2 linked regions of the Mus musculus genome follow. The protein of the gene in region 1 interacts with the protein of each later gene in a pairwise test. Links are inferred from orthologs where the notes say so. Each region holds a gene or a part of one and is shown in the gene's direction. Other genes may lie near its edges.

Region 1 (9,997 bases):
ACAGAGGGACGAAGCTACGCTAGGTTTTTGAGGGCGTGGGCTGCTGTGCTTGGGCAAGCTGTTCTAGGTCACAGAGGACACAGATATGTGGTAGCTAGTGGGTGGCAGTCAGGAGCCTTTGGATTCTGCCTTGAAGGTCTGGCCCTTACCCTAGGGCAGGCATTGCCTTAGGATTGTACCCTTAGTGTGGGCAGGCCTGGGTGGCCTCTGATGCTTGCTGTGACGCCAGGCTAGCAGACACTGTGGATTGAGTGGTGGATAGAGAACTAGGTCGTGCCACAGGAAGCCTGGGCTCCCTTGTAGCCCCATCAGACAATGTCACAGTCTTAAAGGTTGGCTTAGGACTTGAGGTTCCCTGGATAAGGGGTGTGTGTGTGTGTGTCCAGGCTAGGGGTAAGGTTAAAGTGGCATTATGGACTGACCTTGCATGTACTTCTCTCACAGGAAATGGCAAGAGGCAAATCAGAAGATCCAGGAGCTGCAGGCCAGTCAAGATGAGAGAGCTGAGCATGAGCAGAAGATTAAGGTAGATGCTTCCTGCCAGACTGTGCAGCTTCCTATACCAGGCAGGGGTGGGACAGCCCTCCTGTCACTCACACACCTTCCTGCCTAGACGTGTGCTCAGTGGCATATGAGGATGCATGCTGATTGCCTTGTGGATGCCAGGCCCTGTGCTGGCTCCTTGGAGGCCACAGTGAGTGCTCAAGTGCCCCAGTGATGACGACCCACTAGAAATCCATGGGAAAAGGCTAACACAGAGGACTGCAATCTAGGCTTAGAGAGCCCAGCCACAGAGGCCAAGATGAGACACTATGAGTTTGAGAGCGAGTGCTCCATGAAGTAGAGTTGGGGGTGGAGATCCTGTGCAAGTCTGCACAGCTAAGCATGGCCGAGCGAGATCACCACTCCAGGGCTCTGATTTAAGTTCAGCCTCCTTTATTCTGGTGGGTGTTGCTGGAGAGGTGCCGCCGCCGAGACCTCCCTTCCATGGTTTCCTGTTGCCTTTACTGTGATAGCCAGTCCTGGGAAGGAGACTGTGTCAGTTGTCTCCCTCTCTGTGTGGTGTGAGCACCAAGGCAGTAGGCTCTGCTCCTTGTGCCTCTGGCACTGCTTTACCTGGCTCTGTTGTCTTTTGGACTTATTTGCTTAAAGATCAATTTTTATTTTTATATGTGTGGGTATGGGTGTCTGCAGAGATCAGAAGAGGCCTGGAATTGGAGTTAAGATGCTAGCTGCCTAACCAGATGCTAGGAACTGAATTTGGGTCCTCTGGAAGAGCAGCAAGTATTGTTAGTTGCTGAGCCTTCTCCCTAGGCCCGAGTCCAACCTTCTTACCTCTCACAATTCCCTTGTGCATAGAGGTTGACCAGTTGGTCTTCTCTGTCTCTTTGTTCCCACTACTTGACTCTACCTGGATGGAGCTGGGCTCTATGAAGGGTCCTGATCAATTGTTTTGGTCCTGGTTTTATATATAGCTTGTTCAGTGACTTGTCACTAGGTTCCTGTGCTACCTTGTTGAGAGTCATAGTGACAGGTGCAGTGTAGGTACGCCTGCTGCACAGTGGGAACAGATGCAAGGGTTGCAGGTTCACCACCCACGTGGCAGAAGCTGACCACAGCGGGCCAGAGGGGCCTGTGGCACTGAACCGTTGGGGACCAGAGGGCTGGATGGTGTGTGGCCAGGCACAGGCAAGAGGGACAGTGGTGTGGGTACTGGCTCTTGGGTGCTCCAGTGCTGCTCCAGAGGTGGTGTTGAGGATGCAGCATAGCGGGTTAGCCTTGGAACACTTCCTACACTGTCTGGACTGTGGAGACCATTGAGGTCCTAGGACAAGTTAGAAGACCTTTGCTTTGCTTAAAAAAAGAAAAAAAAAAAAAAGGAAAAAAAAAAGAAAAAAGAAAAAAAGAGGCAGCCGGGCAGTGGTGGCACACACCTTTAATCTCAGCACTTGGGGAGGCAGAGGCATGCAGATTTCTGAGTTCGAGGCCAGCCTGGTCTACAGAGTGGGTTCCAGGATGGCTAGGGCTACACAGAGAAACCCTGTCTCGAAAAACCGAGGGAAAAAAAAAAAAAGAGAGAAGAAAAGAAAAAAAAAAAAGAAAAAAGAAAAGAAAAGAGAAAGGCTTATTTAATTAAAAATTAGGTATATATGTAGGTATGTATGTGTAAGAATGTGTGTGTGAATGCGGGTGTACGGGCATGCCAGAGACGTCATATCCCCTGGGCCTGGAGTTACAGATAGTTGTGAGTTTGACATGTATGCTGGGGGTCAGTGTTGTTCCTTAGGATGTTATCTACTTTTTTCTTTTCTGGACAGGTCTGGTTGGCTTTGTTTTTCATTTAATCTATCTATCTATCTTCCTTCCTTCCTTCCTTCCTTCCTTCCTTCCTTCCTTCCTTCCTTCCTTTATTTATTTCTGCAAGTCGTTCTATGTAGCCCTGGCTGTTCTGGAAATCACTATGTAGACCAGGCTGACCTTGAACTCACAGAGATCCACTTGTCTCTGCCTCCTGAGTGCTGAGATTAAAAGCCTGTGTTACTATACCAGTCTTTAAAAAAAAAAAAAGTGTGTGTGTGTGTGTGTGTGTGTGTGTGTGTGTGTGTGTGTGTGTTAGGAAGCATTGAGGGGATTTAGGGCCTCATACTTTCTTGCATGGCAAGTGATTACTGACCGAGCAGGTTCCCTAGCTTCTGACACCTCCATTTTTTTGTGTCTTCTCTTAAACTGACTGTCATGATCTCCATGTCTGTCTGTCTGCCTTCTCCAGATCATTCCGTGGTTGAAGACCTGCATGTCTTTCAGCCCAGCCTCTCTGTTTTACAGAGGCTGTGTGTGCAGTTCTTCTGGCTGCTTACTCTCTCTCTCTCTCACAGGACCTGGAGCAGAAGCTGTGTCTACAAGAGCAGGATGCAGCTGTGGTGAAGAGCATGAAGTCTGAGCTGATGCGGATGCCCAGGATGGAGCGTGAGCTGAAGAGGCTGCATGAAGAGAACACTCATCTAAGGTGAGGGCTCATGCACAGCCTGCTGCCCCTAGTTGGTAGTTGGGCCCTGGGCTTGGTGTCCCTGGGGCTTGTCCTCCACGTGCGTGACTGTTCTGGCCCTGTAGGGAGATGAAGGAGACCAATGGGCTGCTCACAGAGGAGCTGGAAGGTCTGCAGAGGAAACTGAGCCGGCAGGAGAAGATGCAGGAGGCTCTGGTTGACCTGGAGTTGGAAAAGGAGGTGAGTAGTGGGTGAGTTGTCTCTCCGGGGCCGTCCTCTGCCCTGGCCGGAGCACCCTGAGCATCTCCATTACACCTTGTAGTTGGTCAGCTGTGGGGATGCCGTGCTTGTGTGGTGGGTAGTACAGTCAGTTATGAGATTCTCCATTACACGTTGTAGTTGGTCAGCTGTGGGGATGCCGTGCTTGTGTGGTGGGTAGTACAGTCAGTTATGAGATTCTCCATTACACGTTGTAGTTGGTCAGCTGTGGGGATGCCGTGCTTGTGTGGTGGGTAGTACAATCAGTTATGAGATTCTCCATTACACGTTGTAGTTGGTCAGCTGTGGGGATGCCGTGCTTGTGTGGTGGGTAGTACAATCAGTTATGAGATTCTCCATTACACGTTGTAGTTGGTCAGCTGTGGGGATGCCGTGCTTGTGTGGTGGGTTGTACAATCAGTTATGAGATTCTCCATTATACGTTGTAGTTGGTCAGCTGTGGGGATGCCGTGCTTGTGTGGTGGGTAGTACAATCAGTTATGAGATTCTCCATTACACGTTGTAGTTGGTCAGCTGTGGGGATGCCGTGCTTGTGTGGTGGGTAGTACAATCAGTTATGAGATTCTGCAGTCACTGCTGCCTGTTGCAAATAGGAGCTTCTTTGATTAAAGCTCACAGTGATACATATTTTATGGGCATAAGTGTAGCTGCTTAGAAGGCAACTTGACAGACTCACTACACACAATAGCTGTTGCTTCTGTACTGAGGTCTGTCCTCAGCCATGAGCTTTTGACTGGGTTTACAGTACCAGATGGGGTTCCCTCTTCTGGAGTGAGCATCAAATCCAATTAGAAAGCAGTTGGTTACCCTGGTAACATACCTGCCATTGTTGCACATGTAGGCTCATTTTGGCTGCTTGTTATTGTGCACACAGGCTCTAAAGCTGGGTAAGACTGTTAAAGACAGTTTTTCCCATCGGCCTGCATAGTATCTTGCAGACCTCCAAAGACTTGCTAGCAGGGAGGAAGCTTCTAGCTCAGTTCTAGCTTGATTTATCTGTTCTTGATGGCATGTGCTGTCTTTAGCAACAACATCTTACTATGTAATTCTGGTGGTCAACCAATAGCAATGGCTATTTTCCTACATTGTATTAGAGCCTCAGAAGCCTCTCCTTTTGTTTTGAGATGGCCTCACTCTTAACCTGGGGCTAGCTAATTCAGCTAGGCTGGGTGATCAGTGAGCTCTGCCTATCTGTTCTCCTCCAGCATTGGATTTTAGGTGTTTGTTCTATGCCCAGTTTTTGTTAAATGAGCATTAGGGAGTGAATGCAGGTTTCATGCTTGTGTGATAATCTGTTTGCTTGACTGAACCATCTCCCAAGCTCCATCTCTGGCTTCTTTTAGAAGTCCAAGCCAGATGAGTTTCTGTTGGCACCAGAGAGTTCTCTGTGACCAGCCCGTGCTGCAGTTCCTATCTATTTGTGCTGTCCCAGACAGGCCTCTCTTGGACACTGGCTTTATAGGCAAAAAGACCTGGAACTTCTTTTGTCCTTTCCTCTGGCATTCTGTCCAGAGAGCCATTCTTTTATTCTTGCATGAGGGAGTTAAGTATAGAGCAAGCAAAGGTAAACGAGCAGTATAATAAGCAGCAGCTAGAGATGCAGCAGACAGTGCAAAGCAGCTCACTGAGAGCTTACAGCATCCCACAGAGACAGCTCAGAAGTCCTGCTGGGGTCCCAGGAGACTGTTGTGGGTACAGTGTCTCTGCATGGCTGAGGCTTTCGGCTTCACACTCCCACAACAGGAATTTTTATACCATGAATAAGCAGTGGTTACCTTTGTTGGATGCTTCCCCCTTTAGCTATTTTTTTTTTTTTTTTTTTTTTTGGTTTTTCGAGACAGGGTTTCTCTGTATAGCCTTGGCTATCCCGGAACTCACTTTGTAGACGAGGCTAGCCTCGAACTCAGAAATCCGCCTGCCTCTGCCTCCCGAGTGCTGGGTTTAAAGGCGTGCGCCACCACGCCCGGCTCCCCTTTAGCTATTCTTAAGCCCCCACCCCTAGCCCCCCAGACAGGGTTTCTCTGTGTATCCCTGGCTATTTTGGAACTTAACTCTATAGACTAGGCTAGCCTCGAACTCAGATCCACCTACCTCTGCTTCCTGAGTTCCACTACTGGGCAGGCACCAAGATTTTGTAATGTCATAATTCATAGCAGCTTGTAGTTCTCGTTTCTCCTTGTTGCTGGACCAGGGGCCAGCCTGTCCCAGATCTTGACATAAACTGGTTGGACTCTGAGATAATGAAGGCCACCTTGGTCCGTGAGCCCACTTTCATGAGCCCAAATGTCATGCAAACAGCACATGACATTTACCAACATAATTTATATCACACCTGGATGTAATGTTTTTTGTTTGTTTGTCTTTGACAGTTTTGAGGTTTAGGGCGCTTAGCTTGAAGTCCTATATGGAAGTGTGCTTGCTGTTGACACTGGGTCTATCCATGCCCACCTGTGAAAAGTGGTCAGGGCCTAGCTGGGAACAGTGTCCTGTAATGCTGGTGGTGGAAAAGTTAGTAGCTGAGCAGCTGTCCCACCCTTTTAAAGTTTTTATTTTATGTTTGTGTGTGTGAGTATGTGTGTGTGTTAGAAAGAGTGAGTACATGTGTCTTAGTGTATGTGTGTATGTATGTATATATGTGTGTATGTGTAGGTATGCATGTGAGAAAAAAATGAGTGCACATGCCACAATGTATATGTGTATGTAGATATGTGTGTGTGTATGTATGTGAGAAAAAGTGAACCCATGTGCCACAATGTATATACATTTTGTGTGTGTGTGTATATGCATATATATATGTGTGCTTGTGTGTGTATATCTGTATGTATGTGGGAAAGAGCAAGTGTGTGCATGTGCAGTGGTGTTTGTGTGGATTTTCCAGGACAATTTGTGAGAGTAAGTTTTCTCCCACTGTGTGTATTCTGGGGCTCAGACTCAGGTCGCCAGGCATGGTAATGAGCTCCTTTATCTTGCTGGCCCTCGCTATGCTGCCCGTCCTGGGCACAGGTTTTTTTGTTTGTTTGTTTGTTTTTTTAAAAGTCTAGTTAGTTTTTATTTAACAAATCTCCAAAAGCTTTTTAAGGGAGAGTTGAAAGGCCAATCAACAGATTGTTCACAAAAATTAAATATCCATCTGAGTTTAAAAGGTGAGTCCATACCTTAAATGCTATACCAAAGTCTGCTCTAAATGTAAAATAGGAAACTATGCATATGTTTCTTCCACTATAGAAGCAAATAAAATAACATTTATAATATCTTAGGTTTTATATTGACTATTTAGCTATAACTTACAACAATTATTTATAAAGAAAAAATAACATGATAATTTGAATTTTATCAAAATTGGAAACTTTGCAAAATGAAAAGTTGACAGTATGAAAACATGAGCTGGGCACAGGTTGTTTTTTGTTTTTTTGTCAGTATTATTCTTGGCTGGCTTGGAACTTCCTATGTAGACCAGGCTGTCTCTGGACTTTCAGAGGTCTGCTTGCTTTTCCCTCCAGAGTTCTGGGATTAAAGCCATGGGGCATGCCTTGTGGGCCGAGAACCTTTAAAAACAATTTTATTTAACTTTTTGTTGAATTTGTGAATTTCATATCATGAACCCCAATTCCATTCATCTCTTTGTCCTCTGCCCTCTGCCCTTGTAACTTCCCCCCAAAAAGAAAGAATTGTTGTAGGAACTGTAGTGTTCATTGCAAAGAGTCATTTGGCTGGTTTGAGGTCTCTGGCTTCTGCTACACTATTAGTTCCTGACCGGAACTCCTCTCAGATATCCTGTGGCATAGAGATCTTGCAGCTTTGGATCTGCAGGGCTGGTAGGTCCAGAATCATGAGTGAACCCTTGGTATCAGCTATGTGCTGGCCCCCTAAAGATGGGGCTGATCTGAAGCACATATTCATTTCAGCTCCAAAGGGGTAGGGAGAGAGACTTTGTGGGAATCAAGCTGGTCTGGAGCAGGCACACGGGCATAGATGACCCTGTTTCCTCCTCATGGCTTGCTAGCCCGCATCTAAGTCATTTTGGTCCTGGCCTACCATAGAATTAGGGAAACCGTGGCTCTAGAACAGAGTTTGTCGGTCAGTAGGTCTAGGACTTAGCATTCTAGGACTTAGCTTTCTGAAAGAGGCTCCTGGCTAATTTGGCTGGACTTGCACCATGGGGCAGGAAGGAGCAAGGCCTAGGCCAGTCATGTACCTTCATCTGCTAAGATCACCTAACCACCTGTGATCACAGATAGGATGGGAGACTCCAGTACCTTTGTCATTGTTTGCTTTCACATGACAGTTGCTGGGCAAGAGATACTGATGGCTATAACTGTCTTTCTAGAAGCTACTTGCAAAGCTGCAGAGCTGGGAGAACCTGGACCAGACCATGGGCTTGAATCTCAGGTAGGTAAGCTGTTGCTGTCTTCACCCCTGGCTGCTGGCTTCCAGTGCTTTCTTCTGCCTCCTGGCTCAGAGTCTGCAGAGGACAGGGCAGGCAGGCTCCTTCTTGTGCTGTGGTGAGGAGCTCTTGTTTAGGCTTAATGAGTGCTTTACATGGCAGGGCGATTGAGCCTTACTGTAAAGACTGTTGAGAATCTGTATCTCCACAGAGCTGATGGTGGGGAAAGGGCATTGCAATGGCCTGCATGCTCACAGGACCCAGTGCATGTAAGGAAGTCACTGCTTTGGGGGAAAATGATAAACTTTGGGGATTGACTGACTGAGTTAAAACCCAATAATACTGGAAGATTCATGTCCCACTGGGTCCTTTGGAGCATCTCATGTTACTGGTCTGTGTCAGGTATGAGTGCAGAAATGCAGAGTGGATCACAGGGCAGAGATGCTGGGCACTGTGTGTTCAACACATAGCAAGGGCAGGGTGTTCCCTGTGGCTTTCCCATCTGTACAGTTGTGAGGTGTCATTCACTGATGGCCTGATGCATTTGTAGTTCAGTTTTGGGTTGACTCTCAGCTGCCATCAACAGCTGTGATCCCTGAGTCTTGGTCTGGCTGTCACCCTTCATGATGGCTGTGTCTGTTCTAGGACTCAGGGCAGTTGTGGTGTATTAGTTGGGATAAGGTGTTGGAGCTAAGGCCTGTGGGATTCAAGCAGCCCTTTGTTGTAATACTTCCGGCTTGCTGGCTGTCTTCCTGCTGCTCTGAGTAACAAGGCCAGATGAAAACTGCCTGAGCTCAGCTGTCTTATAATCACACTGTCCCCTGCTGGCTCTGGAGCCGTCACCTTTTGATGGCAGCATTGCCTTCCATTCTGTTACTTGACAGTGCCTCTTCATTTCCTTTCCAGTCCATCTGCAGAACCCTTCTTTCAGAGGCTGGCCCAGCAGGCCCAGTGCTGTGTGCTTCCTCCTGTCTTCTGGGCTTGTTAGCTGCCGGCAAGGGTCCCTCCTACCCCTGGGGATACTCTGCCCAGACAAGACACCTCCGTGACTTCTTTCTTGTGATGGAGATCAGAGGCCCCTCATGCCCAGTTGGACCAGCCCTGTTGGAACACTGGTGTTCTGGTTTGCCTGCGTGTCTGGTGCCTGCCGCATGGTACTTAGTGTCAATCAGTTCTGTGGAGCCGTTGCCTTGGCTGGAGTAGCACAGGTCACAGTGGCCAGGTTGCAGTGTCTAGCTGCTGTGTGAGCCCTTTCCCCAACTGACTGCCCTGTGCAGAGCTTGGCTGCTTTGAGGGCAAGCTGATCCTTGGTTGCTGTCTAGCTACCTGGGCCAAGCAAGAGAGAGGAGTGGGTGCTTATGGTGCTCCACATTCTCATCGAGGAATGCGGGGAGACCCTTCTTAGGAGCCATACTGCCCTGGACCCCTCTTCTCTTAACTGAGGAGTGCAGGGCTTCTACCAGCTGTGTTTGTAAGGTCCAGCAGGCTCATGTCCTTAGGAAGCATCTCAGCTGGTAACTATCCTTTCTAGAAGGCAAAGGGCACTGGTCTCTTGCTTCATAGCCCCCTTGGTCTCCTGATAGCTGCCGTTCATGCATTGCCCTGGGCTGCTAGGCTGCCTGGCACCTTGGAAGCTCAGTGTCACCTGCTTACCTTCCCTGTGCACCAAGGGCAGAGATTTGGGTACAGGCCAGGGTCAAGGCTGAACTCTGGGTGACATGGATTCACCCTTGTGGCTACACTTGTTCTGTGATGGTGACAGATGCAGACCAGCTGTATTAAATGTGCTCCCTTAACATGAGAAGCTGGGTCTGGGGCCAGGACATATGCTGGAGTGTGCACTAAGAATGTGTGATGCAGCCAGGTGTGGTAGTGCAGGCCTTTAATCCCAGCACTCGGGAGGCAGAGGCAGGCGGATTTCTGAGTTCCAGGACAACCTGGTCTACAAAGTGAGTTCCAGGACAGCCAGGGCTACACAGAGAAACCCTATCTCGAAAAAACTAAAAAAAAAAAAAAAAAAAAAAAAGAAAAAAAAAAGAAAAGAATGTGTGATGCCTGGGTTTATTTCCCAGCAACTGGTCCTTAACAAGTGGATGGGGGCTGAGGTACTCAGTGGATGAATCCATTACCATGCAAGCCAGACAGCCTCAGGTAGATCTCTAGAATGTAGGCAAGGGTACAGGAGAGAACCAGTTCCACACAGCTGTCCTCTGTCCTTCGTACATGAGTTGCTGGGATTTGAACTCAGGACCTTTGGAAGAGCAGTCAGTGCTCTTACGTGCTGAGCCATCTCACCAGCCCCTGTTTCTTTTTTTAACATCTGTCTCTCTTTCTCTGTGTGTGTGTGT
Region 2 (10,737 bases), on another chromosome or scaffold:
AGCTGAAATATGCCAAAGAGCTACCCTGTGGGTGGACTATTTTGGAATGGTGTGTCCTTAGCCCCAGCATTATGGTAACAGTGGTGTCCTTACCATACTCAGAGCTAGGCGCTTTAAGTGAAGATGTGTGTGTGCTTGGTTTTGACTTTGCTCTCAGGGTTTTGCATTGTTGTCTTGCCAGGGGCAGAGGGTGGTCTCACTATGTAGTCCTGGCTTACCTGAGGAACTTGATACATAGACCAGGCTGGTCACTGAACTCACAAGAGATCTGTCTGCCCCTGCGTCCCCAGTGCTGGGATTAAAGACCTTTGCCACCATGCTTAGTCTTTTTTATGAAAGTACAACATTAACAAAATAGCAATTAAAGCACAGCCCAGCTCAATGAACTGCTAGATATGCAAAGTACATGGACATTCACTGTAGATATCAAACTTAAACTTCCATGTTCCTTGTAGAAGCTGGGCTGTTAGTTTCCAGCTTTGAAGGAGGCTGGAGGTCTGTGTCAGCTAGACATTTCCTCTCCAACTCCTGAGAGCCAGGTAGATGCTTCCCGTTTTCCCTCCTGTGGGTCAGGGCGTCTAAATCCCCAGGGGACAGAATGTCTCTTTCCTTCTAGCCAAACCAGGCAAGTTTCTGCAAAACTACAAGATGAAAAAGCCCTTTAAACCACCAAATAAAAAAATAAAATAAAATCATAAAAACAACAAAAGGGAGGACTACGTGCCAACAAATGCAACCAGAAGTGTCCAGAAACAATGAAGAGATGTAATTAGACTTCAGGTTCAGTCACACAGTCCTGTCACACTCTGGCAGATCAAGCACTGGACTCAGGTCAGTGGTCTCTTGGAAATCGCTGAAGGTAAGCTGGAGAGAAGGCTTGGGTACGTGGCAGCGACTCCCAGAACAGGCACTAATCTGGCTGTGAGGAGTCTCCAAACACCTCCTGTTCACAGCACCAGCTCTGAAGGCAGAAGCAGGGTCCTCTGCCTCCTCCTTGCCAGGCTTCTGTTGCCATGTGGAAGGGGACAAGGGGACATGGAACTGCATCTTTGAAGCCCCACGCTCCTCTAGGGAATGGGTCATGACCATCTTCTTCAGAGGGAGGCTTTTATTTTGGTCTGTAATTAAAACACACACCGGAGGCTGAATCTAGCTTCCCCATAAATAACCGAAGTTAATGAAATGTTCAAAACTAGTGTTGACTGCCAAGTTTTACAGCATTCTCCTAATTGTTTGGGTATGAGAAAATTCTGTGTATGTCTAAAAGAATCATTTGATAACTAGGCCATAGTTCCTAAAATAATTAAAACCTGTAATCATGTTTTGAAATACAGAAAAGTTGTTTGATAAGTTGTGCCCTCCTACCTAAGTAGGCAATCAAAGAATGCTGAGTTTGGAGATTTTTTTTTTTTTCTTGTGTGAATGTTGCTCATAAGAGTGGAGACTGGCTTGACAAAAACAGTTATTAAAAACTAAGTGCCTAATGGACTTAGAGCAGTGTGTGGGGCCCTGTTTGTTAGAGTGGGCTGTGGCTTCCCTTCCCAGTGGGAGTCTGAGGGAATCAGCATCATGGGATAACAAACCTCAGCAGTGGGATATTTTGCAAATCTTTGTTGAGTCCCAGTTCTTAGAGCAATTGGGCAGGGTGGTGGCCCAGCTGCAGGCAATGGTCTCCTCACAATGTCAGAAATCTGTGAGCACAGATGCAGGTACACAGAACCTGAGCCCCCTCCTCCTGTCCTCCTGCCCTGGCTACATGCTGCCTGTTCTCTGGCCCTTGTTACATCAGCTACAGGGATGCGTCAACATCAGAGAGTACAGGTCCATGATGTGACTCAGTGCCAGTATGCTTGCCCTGCACATACAAGGCCATGGGTTTGCTCCCCAGAACCTCCAAAACCAAACCTCCTCTCCCTGGCTCAGAAACTTCCAGTGTCTTTCTGTTCCCTTCAAGTAAAAGGTGTCTCCAAGACCTCAGCCTTCACTTCTGCTCCACATGTCCAGCATTAATCTACAGGTCCCATCTTGCAAACTTTATCTTTACAGTTCCTGAGCCAGCAACCTCTTCTGGAGGTTGAGCCAGCCCTCCCTTTGTCCCTCCCTTCCTCCCTCCCTTTCTCCCTCCCTCCTTCAGAATTCTCAATGTCACTTTCCCAGACTACCCTACTTTAATAGCATCATCCTGCACTCTCCTCCTCCCCGCCTTATTTTTCTGTCTTACTACCTATATACTTGCAAGTTTGCTTATGTCTGCCTCTCCTCGCTACAATGTAATTTCAGCAATGCCCCTGCTAATTCTCAGCTCTTGGTCAACAGCAGACACTCAAAACTGTTGCTTAGAATGTGCTGAGTGTTCTTCTGGGGAAGGTGTGTGAACCAATTTATTAATCTTCACAGTAATTCAAGATAGGATCATCGTAGTAATTATTATCATGTCTGATGAAGAAATTAAGGCACGCTACTATCAGTAATAAGAAACTAAATTTGGACCCAAGACACCAGCCCTTTATAATAACCATGATATATTGTACCACGCTTAGCTAATAGCAAATAATTCAATGATTTTTTCCCTATGCTGACTCTTAGAAATTCAGAGAATCAAAGTATGACTTTAAAATATCAAGTTTCTTGTAATTGCCTAGTATGTTAGAATAATTAATAGGTGTGATTCTCAAGCTCAGATGAGTAAACAGGAGCAAAATGGGAGCCACAATGACAACTCTTCAGTCTCTAATTCTGAGAACCACTTCCACAAAGGCTCCGACTGTGGATTACAGGCATGTTCCCTGTCCCACAGAGATTACCATGATTAGCACTGGTCCATAAAGGGACACAAAAGCTGCAGAGACGCCAGGTCCCCCAAAGGGCCCCTCTGGGACTGTAGCAGCTCACTTGCTCAAGCTCCTTGCTTATTAGTGTGGTGATTCACACAGTGCATTGGGCAAGCCGAGTATGTCACCTAATAGAGAGTATGTTGATACAGCCTTATCTGAGAAGTTACATAATTATGCTAGTGTCAGGATACCATTACAGGAGTCTGAGCCTTAGCGTGAAAGAGGAGTGTATTCCCTAGGAAGTATTACACAAAGAAGGACTGGAGACTCCATTACCCCAAACTAAGCAAGTGACGTAAAATAGCTAAGGACAGAAACTGTGTCCACTTCAAGTTGCGGCTTGGCCGGGCACCTGCTGAAGAATGCTTCCGGGACCCCGACACTAGCCTGCGCTTCCCTGGGAACAGAGGGTTGGTCGGCGCTCAGCAAACTGTCCCCCTAGAGTCCTGGCTGCTTCTTTATTTAGGGTCAAATATGTACAAGCCTTGGACCTCCATTCTCCTTCTCCTCCAAACAGTGCAACTATCTTTCCTCCCACTAGGTTGGAATTCTCTGAAAGAAGCCATACCAGGTCTTCCTCTTTGGAGTCCTCCACCTTCTCTCGACCTCACTCCTGATCCACCCCCACAGTCCCCCAGGATGCGGAAGGAGGTGAGTGAGTAGGGTACCGACCAGGAGTGTCCCCAGCACCTGTCACCTGGCCCACCTGGGCCCTCCCTTCACCCCTTTCCCCAGCCCCACCCACCTTCCCGCCGACAGGCCACCGCCCTCCGGCCTTCAGCCGTGGTCCAATGGCCGTAGGGCAGGGCACGCTTAGCAAGCCGCGGCTCCCGGGCCCCGTCCCCGCCCTGTTCCCGGTTCTCGGTTCCCGAGCCGAGCCCTGCCGCCTTTAAATGCCACCCCAGGCCAACGCACTGCGGCCCTCGCCACCGTCATCCCCTCGCCGCCGCGATCTCCGCGCCGCCCGCCTCCCTTCCCCCTCCCGGGCCTGCGGCCGCGCCAGCCTGGGGCGTGCACGCGCGCCCGTGTGTGCGCGCGCCCGGCTCGGACCCGCGCCCGCCGCCGCGTCCCCGGCGCTCGCTGCAGGAACATGGCGGGGTCGGTGGCCGACAGCGACGCCGTGGTGGTGAGTGCAGCGGCCTCCCGCGAGGCGGGTAGCTCAGAGGGCCGGGGCAAGGACTACGGACCCGCGGTGCCGCGGGAAGCGCGGTACCTGTCAGCCGCCGCGGGGTGCGAGCTCGGGGGGCCCCGGGCGCGGGGCAGGAGGGCGCCGGCCAGGTGCGCGCTGGGCGCGTGTGCGTGCACGTGGGTTAGTGTGGGGCCGCGGTCCCGGCGTCCGGGATTTACCCCTTTGGAAACGGTCCCGCGCCGGGGGCTCCGGAGAGAAGCCGAGCGCTGCCGCTGCACTCCAGCCACGTCCCCGAGGACAGGCCAGGGGGCAGAGACTCCGGGAGCGTTTGTGCTTGGAGAGGGGCCTGCCGCCCACCTACACGGGCTTTGCTTCCCGGGTGGGCCGCGACCTTGAATTTGATCCGGTCTCAAGAGCCTGGGGATCATCAGAGGCTTAGACCGGATGGAAAGGCCGGGTTTTGTTTCGCGGTTATTTAATGGGCTATAAAGAGGCATCATATGTATGTGTGTCTGTGGAGGGCTGCTGGATCACTACAGATTTGTGTTGATTCCTCATCCTTCCATTCACTCCCTAATAAACAAGGGTCTGTGGAAAGCCAATCTGTGTGCTTCTATTTTTAGAAACTTGATGATGGGCACTTAAACAACTCCTTGGGTTCTCCAGTTCAAGCCGACGTGTACTTCCCACGACTGGTAAATCAATGTGCTCCGTGTCTCTGCCTTTATCCTTTTCCCCTCTGGTGCATTTCCTTGCTTTCTAATGGGTCTGATTCTCAGGGCTGAGGGTTTGGCTCGTCTCTAACAGCCCATAAACATCCTGTCTCTCCCCTCTTCCTTTGCAGATAGTTCCATTTTGTGGGCACATTAAAGGTGGCATGAGACCAGGCAAGAAGGTATTAGTGATGGGCATCGTAGATCTCAACCCCGAAAGGTAAGGGCAGAGCCCTGCCATTGCTGAGTCCCGCGGCTGCCTCCTCCCCTTACCCTACTTGCACAGTGTCACTAGTTAGGAGTGCCAAGAAAGTACCATGTTCCCATGAAAAGAATGTGTATCAATCCTAGCCATCATCTCTGCAGATAGCTATTTATATCAGTGATGATAAAAATAGGCCTACAGTTAATCTTTGACCCTTGAGAAGGCCAAAAGACTTCTTTTTTTATGGTTTTGAAACACGGTAGTCGTAACCAAACCTGTTAGAATAAATAAGAACCAAACTTACAAGATGTTTCCCTTGTCAAGTTCTGTGGCTGTTTTTGAGAACTCTGAGATGGATTAATGCAAGGGTGGCCTGAGGCATTTGAAGTCTTCAGTTGTAATTATTTTCAGTTCCACTGGAGTTTTCACCAGAGCCTACTTTAGGTAACAAAATCTATTGGTTTGAGTGTAATCCTTAGTGTCTGTGTTTAAACTGTGTAAACAGTAGCAGCCCATTAAAAGCCGATGAACCCACTGGAGGAGGAACTGGGTCAAGTTAAAATGTTACATCTGACTCCTGGCTAAGTGACACTGTTTTCTTTTTAGCTTTGCCATCAGCTTGACCTGTGGAGACTCTGAAGATCCTCCTGCCGATGTGGCAATTGAACTCAAAGCTGTGTTCACAGACCGGCAGCTGCTCAGAAACTCTTGTATCTCAGGAGAAAGAGGCGAGGAGCAGTCGGCAATCCCTTACTTTCCATTCATCCCAGACCAGCCGTTCAGGGTAGGTACCTTGAGTGCCTGATGCAGTGTTGGCAGGGCCCCTACTTACTCTGTATCTACTGTGTGCCAAGAGCTCTTTAAGAATTTCTTCATGTCCAAGAAATTTGTTGCCCGGAACTTGTCTCGAGGCCGAGAGAAAAGAATAAAAAACAACAAAAGAAGTCTGTTTGCTGATAGATGTTAATGCTTGCCTTAGTAGCTCTTGATTCTCTTCAGACCATATGTTTAGTTAATGGATGCATATATGCATACCTAATTGCTAAGTACTTAACTGTAATTCTACTTAGCCAGTGCGGAGGTATTAATTATTGTTAACTTCTGGGGTGGTGCTAGGGACTGAACCTTGTGCACATTAGTTAAGGTTTCTACAACTTAGCTACACTCCCAATCCTCGTTTTGATTTCTGTTTTGAAACAGGAACTCTCTAAATTCCCCGGCTGGCCTTGAATTTGTAATCCTCCTGGCTCAGTTTACAGAGTATTTTAGATTACAGGCCTATGCCATCAGGTCAAGCTGGGGTATTAATGTAGTAATAATTTTCTGTGTAATTCCCAATATAGTGTGAGGCACATAAATAACCTACCCCCAAGTATCTGATTGATCACTAGATATTAGTAAGTATCCAGAATTTTCATGTTTCTTGGCCTAAATACCTCAAAACCTTATTAGTTATGGGTTTAAAACAATTTAGTGGTTATCATTTCATTTTCTCTTGTTCACTTTGCTAATGAGTCCATATTTGTATAACTATTTTCCCGTGTGGGTTAATTAAGCGTGTCTGTTTCATGGTCATAAGCTGTGTGGCTGACAGGTTTCTTCCCTAGGGCTTGGGTAGAGCTCCTTGGCTCCCAGTCTCTAACAGGCAGGAAACAACCCAGTTTGCCACCCCATCAGGCAGCAGTAGCACTCACTACCTTCCTCTGCAGGACAAATAAGAGGTGCAAGTCAGTAATATAAGAACAGACTTGTGTACGGGTCAGGCCTGGAGATGAGGCTGCTGTCTGCATGAATCGTACCATACGTCAGTAACGGCACCTCGGTTAAAAGCTCTGTGCTACGTATAGACCAGAGTAAACAGAACTGCTCTTGATACCTTGCACTTCACGTGGGTCTTCTCAAGAACCGTGACTGTTTCTCTTTCCTTAGAGTCTAGAACAAAACAAAAATCCATAACTTTTTTACATCAGTAAAGGAAATGAGATTGTTCCCCTTACGACCGGAATCTAGGACGTTTCCCCATTACCTTAGCTCCTCCTTTAGAATGGTAACCCCTTGCGGGCTCCTCTTGCTATGCCACGTTCTTACATGGTAAGCCGTGTGTGTGTGTGTGTGTGTGTGTGTGTGTGTGTGAGCTTGCAAACTGGAAGGCAATTCAGGTGCCATCCTTAGGAACACCACCATCTGCCTCCCTCACTAGCCTGGATCGCACTGATTAGGCTAAACTGGGCTGGCGAGTGAGCCCAGATCCCCACCACTCTACTGCTGGTATTACAGGTGCATTCAGAACCTGCCATTCTTGTGGGAAAATAGAGAATTATACTTGGGTCCTCTTACTTACCAGTCGAGTATTTCCTCAACAGAGCTATCTCAGACGGTAAATCCTTATGCCTGGTTCATGATTGTGAGCTACTGACTAGAAGGGTTACATTGCTTCCCAGCAACAAAAAAATGTAGTGAAATAAGCTGGGTGGTGGCTCACGCCTTCAATTCCAGCACTTAGGAGGCAGGGGCAGGTGGATCTCTGTGAGTTCAAGGCCTGTCTGGTCTACAGAGTAAGTTTGACGACTACCAGGGCTACACAGAGAAACCTTGTCTCTAAATAAAGTTTACACAAATGGAGTGAAATAGAACTTTTTGATGGTATAATTTAAGCAGTAATATGAATTAAATGTGACTGATACCACATATGGCATCCCTTAATGATAACTGTCAATGCTTTTCTACAAGCATCATAGCACAGCCAATTCATAAGCTCTGTGGTGGCCAGGAGGTGGTGGCTCATACCCTTGGTCCCAGCACTTGGGAGGCAGAGGCGGACAGATCTCTGTGAAATTGAGGCCAGCCTGGTCTACAGAGTGAGTTCCAGGACAGTCAGAGCTATATGAAGAAGCCCTGTCTCAACAAACAAGCAAACAAACAAAATCCCAACAAACCTCTGTGGTGAATTATGGAGAAAGAGAGGGAAAAGGTTTACCATGTGGAGTCAGTGTTTGTTTGTTTTAACAAAGCCTTGTTAATTACACATTCTTGGTCCAATGCTTATTACTGTGTAATCTCCCTTAGTGTTTATTTACCATGATTGTCTAGACTATTATTAGATGCTGCTAAGGGCTACCAGCCATGCATCAGGAGAGGCCCCCCTGCAGGTAGGATGGCTTGTTTGGCATCAAGTGTCATGTGAAGAGATTGGTGCTCCTTCACACCTCTACCTGGAATATGGGAGGAATTGTCTGTTCCAAATCTTTCACTGGTATGGAGTGGTGATTCTCTCAGTGGGTTCCCTGCTCCAGCCTTAGCACTGGGGAGGGTGCAGATTTTTAGATCGAGCTCTGGACTTCCTGAATTGAGAGCTGGGGGAATGGGAACCCAGCAGTCTGCACCCTAGCTAGCATTCAGCAATTTGTGATGTTTGAGATCTACGGTGGGCCTTGCTTATCTTCTCCACAATGAAGTGTGGTTATGTTGTTGGTTTCCCCCTTACTCCAGCAGGATTCATCCAAAATTATGCATTGTTATTATTTTTGTTTCTTCTAGGTGGAGATTCTTTGCGAGCACCCACGTTTCAGAGTGTTTGTGGATGGACACCAACTTTTTGATTTTTATCACCGTATTCAAACATTATCTGCAATTGACACCATAAAGATCAATGGGGACCTCCAGATCACCAAACTTGGCTGATGTTTAAAGCACTTCTATTTCAAATATGATCGATCAGGTGCCACAACTACATGTCTGAAAGAAGTGTCCTAACCAGATCTGGAGACTTAAAAAGAAAACAAAAACAAAGACAGACTTCACTGTCTCTTTCTGTGCAGTTTAAGTCCAGAGTGACAACCTCATCTGTGGTTTGCCCAGAAGAAGAAAACTCGCAAGAAAGACACTGAGCCATTATACCCAGAACAAAGTAATACATTTATCTGGTTTTTATTCAGACTAAACTAAAATGGATTTGTGATGATTTGTGATTTGATAGCAATTACTCATCATTTCAAAGCAAGGTGATATTTAGAAACAAAAGTGCTAAAGACCTTAAAAACAACAGCGGTACATCAAATCTGCACTGACGTGGAATTGCGTAGCACAACCGACATTTTAGTCAGGGTATTTACATAGAATGTAGATTGTGCAAGGTTTGGTTCTTATGTTTTCTTGGGTTTTGTTTTGTTTTGTTTTTGGCACAGCATCATGTTAACTTGGATTTTTAAGCATTCTCGATTAATTTATTTATATTTAGTATATGTATTAATGTATCAGAGAATGAGCAATGTCTACAAATTATGAACTTAGGTCTAAGGGGGAAATTTATGTATAACAAGCATAAAATAAGTGAATTTTTACCTTAAAGAATTTGAACATATTCCCCTTACCCCTCAACTTTGGCTTCTTGACATAAATTGCTATAAGTGCTTTTGGGGACATTTTTGCAACACTTCGATAAAGCTCTAAAGTTCTTGTCGATGATGGGAACTTTTGTTTGCATTGCTTTTTCTCCTTCCTGTGAATTAGCACAGTATTGGCTTCCTTAAGGCTAACTATTCCTTAGATTTACATAATAGCTCATTAAGTTGTTATTAAATTAATGGAAAGCATATAAGAGGTGATTGCATAGACAGCTTTTTAAATAACTATATATCAGTTTTTAATAGTATGCTATGAAAATGGTTCCAGAATGCAGTGTTAAGCAGAAGCAAGTTGCCCCAAATTACTTACTGAGAAGTAATTTATATCAACCTAGGCTGTTAGCTCATTGTATACTTTGTCTTCTGAGACCCTGCCCAGTATCCCTAAGCAATGCCTTTGGAGCTTCTGAGTAGACAGTGCTGCCTCCCTGGTGGATACGGTGGGATCCAGCTAGGTCATCTGAAAGATTAAGTCCCAGGATCTCAGCCAACAGTGACCATGCTTCCAGGGAAACTGCTTCCTGCACTTGCAGAACCACCAGTAGGCTGCAGGTGACTAACGTATCTGCAAGGTTAGAGATGCTCGGTGTTTCATACCCTGCGTTGGTCCTAGAGAGAAGGGCCTTTGGCATTGCTTTGGGCAGGTAGTGGGAGAAGAAAGGGATCCTGGGTGGGGTGTATTTATATATAATTTCGGTTTTGTTTGTACAGTGTATGTGTCTTATTAGGGCACCTCTTTGTCCTTCGCTTCTAAGGTTTTTTACACAACATGCAGAGGCACTGAAGTGACCATGTCATCTTCATGTGTCAAGAATGTAGACAGTGTTTCAGAACCAAAGTCTAAGATAAACAAAGCAAACTCAAATAAGGAATCTTTATAGATGATATATTTGGATTCTTCTCAACTTTGAAACTGTTTAGCACAGTTCCATGGTGTTATATTCAAAGCCTTGTCCACCAAGACCTGCTGCGTCTTAAAAAACTTTCTGTTCTCATGGCTTCTCAGGCAGCCAGGAGAGCTGTTTTGTAGCTCCAGGTTTTTATTTTGTTTTTTGTTTTTTTTAAAGCCTGTGAGCAATTTCTCATGGGTTGAAAAGCCACTTTAGAGGAGTGTCTGTCAAGAGACTTAGAACACACCCTGAAAAACATTTATGAGATTTGGATTCGATTCATGCAGTAAGCACCCCCCCCCACCCCCCCGAGGGATCTTCTGAGTGGGCAAGCATGTGTAACTCAGCAGAAGCTTGGGGTACGGGAGTATAAAAGATTGGAAGTGGCTTTTCTCTACCTGTCAGCTAACTCAGAAGCAGCCAATCCCGTAGGCTGCTTGGTAATGAAAAGCAGTATTAAATCCCAGATCAGCCTCCTGGGAGCCGTCTAAGTGGTGCATTGAGTTGATTTTGGACTAGTTAATCAATAGGGGCCACAGCCCAACTCACTGTCCAAATGGCTA

The links. The genes of interacting proteins can lie anywhere in the genome.
Region 2: the proteins of Mad1l1 (region 1) and Lgalsl interact in binary tests that used the Homo sapiens proteins (3 or more experiments, as listed by UniProt). The two-hybrid records come from large-scale screens. The link is inferred for Mus musculus from reciprocal best matches to the Homo sapiens genes MAD1L1 and LGALSL.

The regions. Positions count from the first base shown.
Region 1 is NC_000071.6:140,293,444-140,303,440, reverse strand, and holds part of Mad1l1 (mitotic spindle assembly checkpoint protein MAD1), read left to right. Parts: intron 1-444; coding exon 445-526; intron 527-2,876; coding exon 2,877-3,007; intron 3,008-3,111; coding exon 3,112-3,226; intron 3,227-7,592; coding exon 7,593-7,654; intron 7,655-9,997. UniProt on the Homo sapiens protein: Component of the spindle-assembly checkpoint that prevents the onset of anaphase until all chromosomes are properly aligned at the metaphase plate.
Region 2 is NC_000077.6:20,824,197-20,834,933, reverse strand, and holds the start of Lgalsl (galectin-related protein), read left to right. Parts: upstream 1-3,825; 5' UTR 3,826-3,924; coding exon 3,925-3,960; intron 3,961-4,586; coding exon 4,587-4,658; intron 4,659-4,807; coding exon 4,808-4,896; intron 4,897-5,487; coding exon 5,488-5,665; intron 5,666-8,418; coding exon 8,419-8,562; 3' UTR 8,563-10,737. UniProt on the Homo sapiens protein: Does not bind lactose, and may not bind carbohydrates.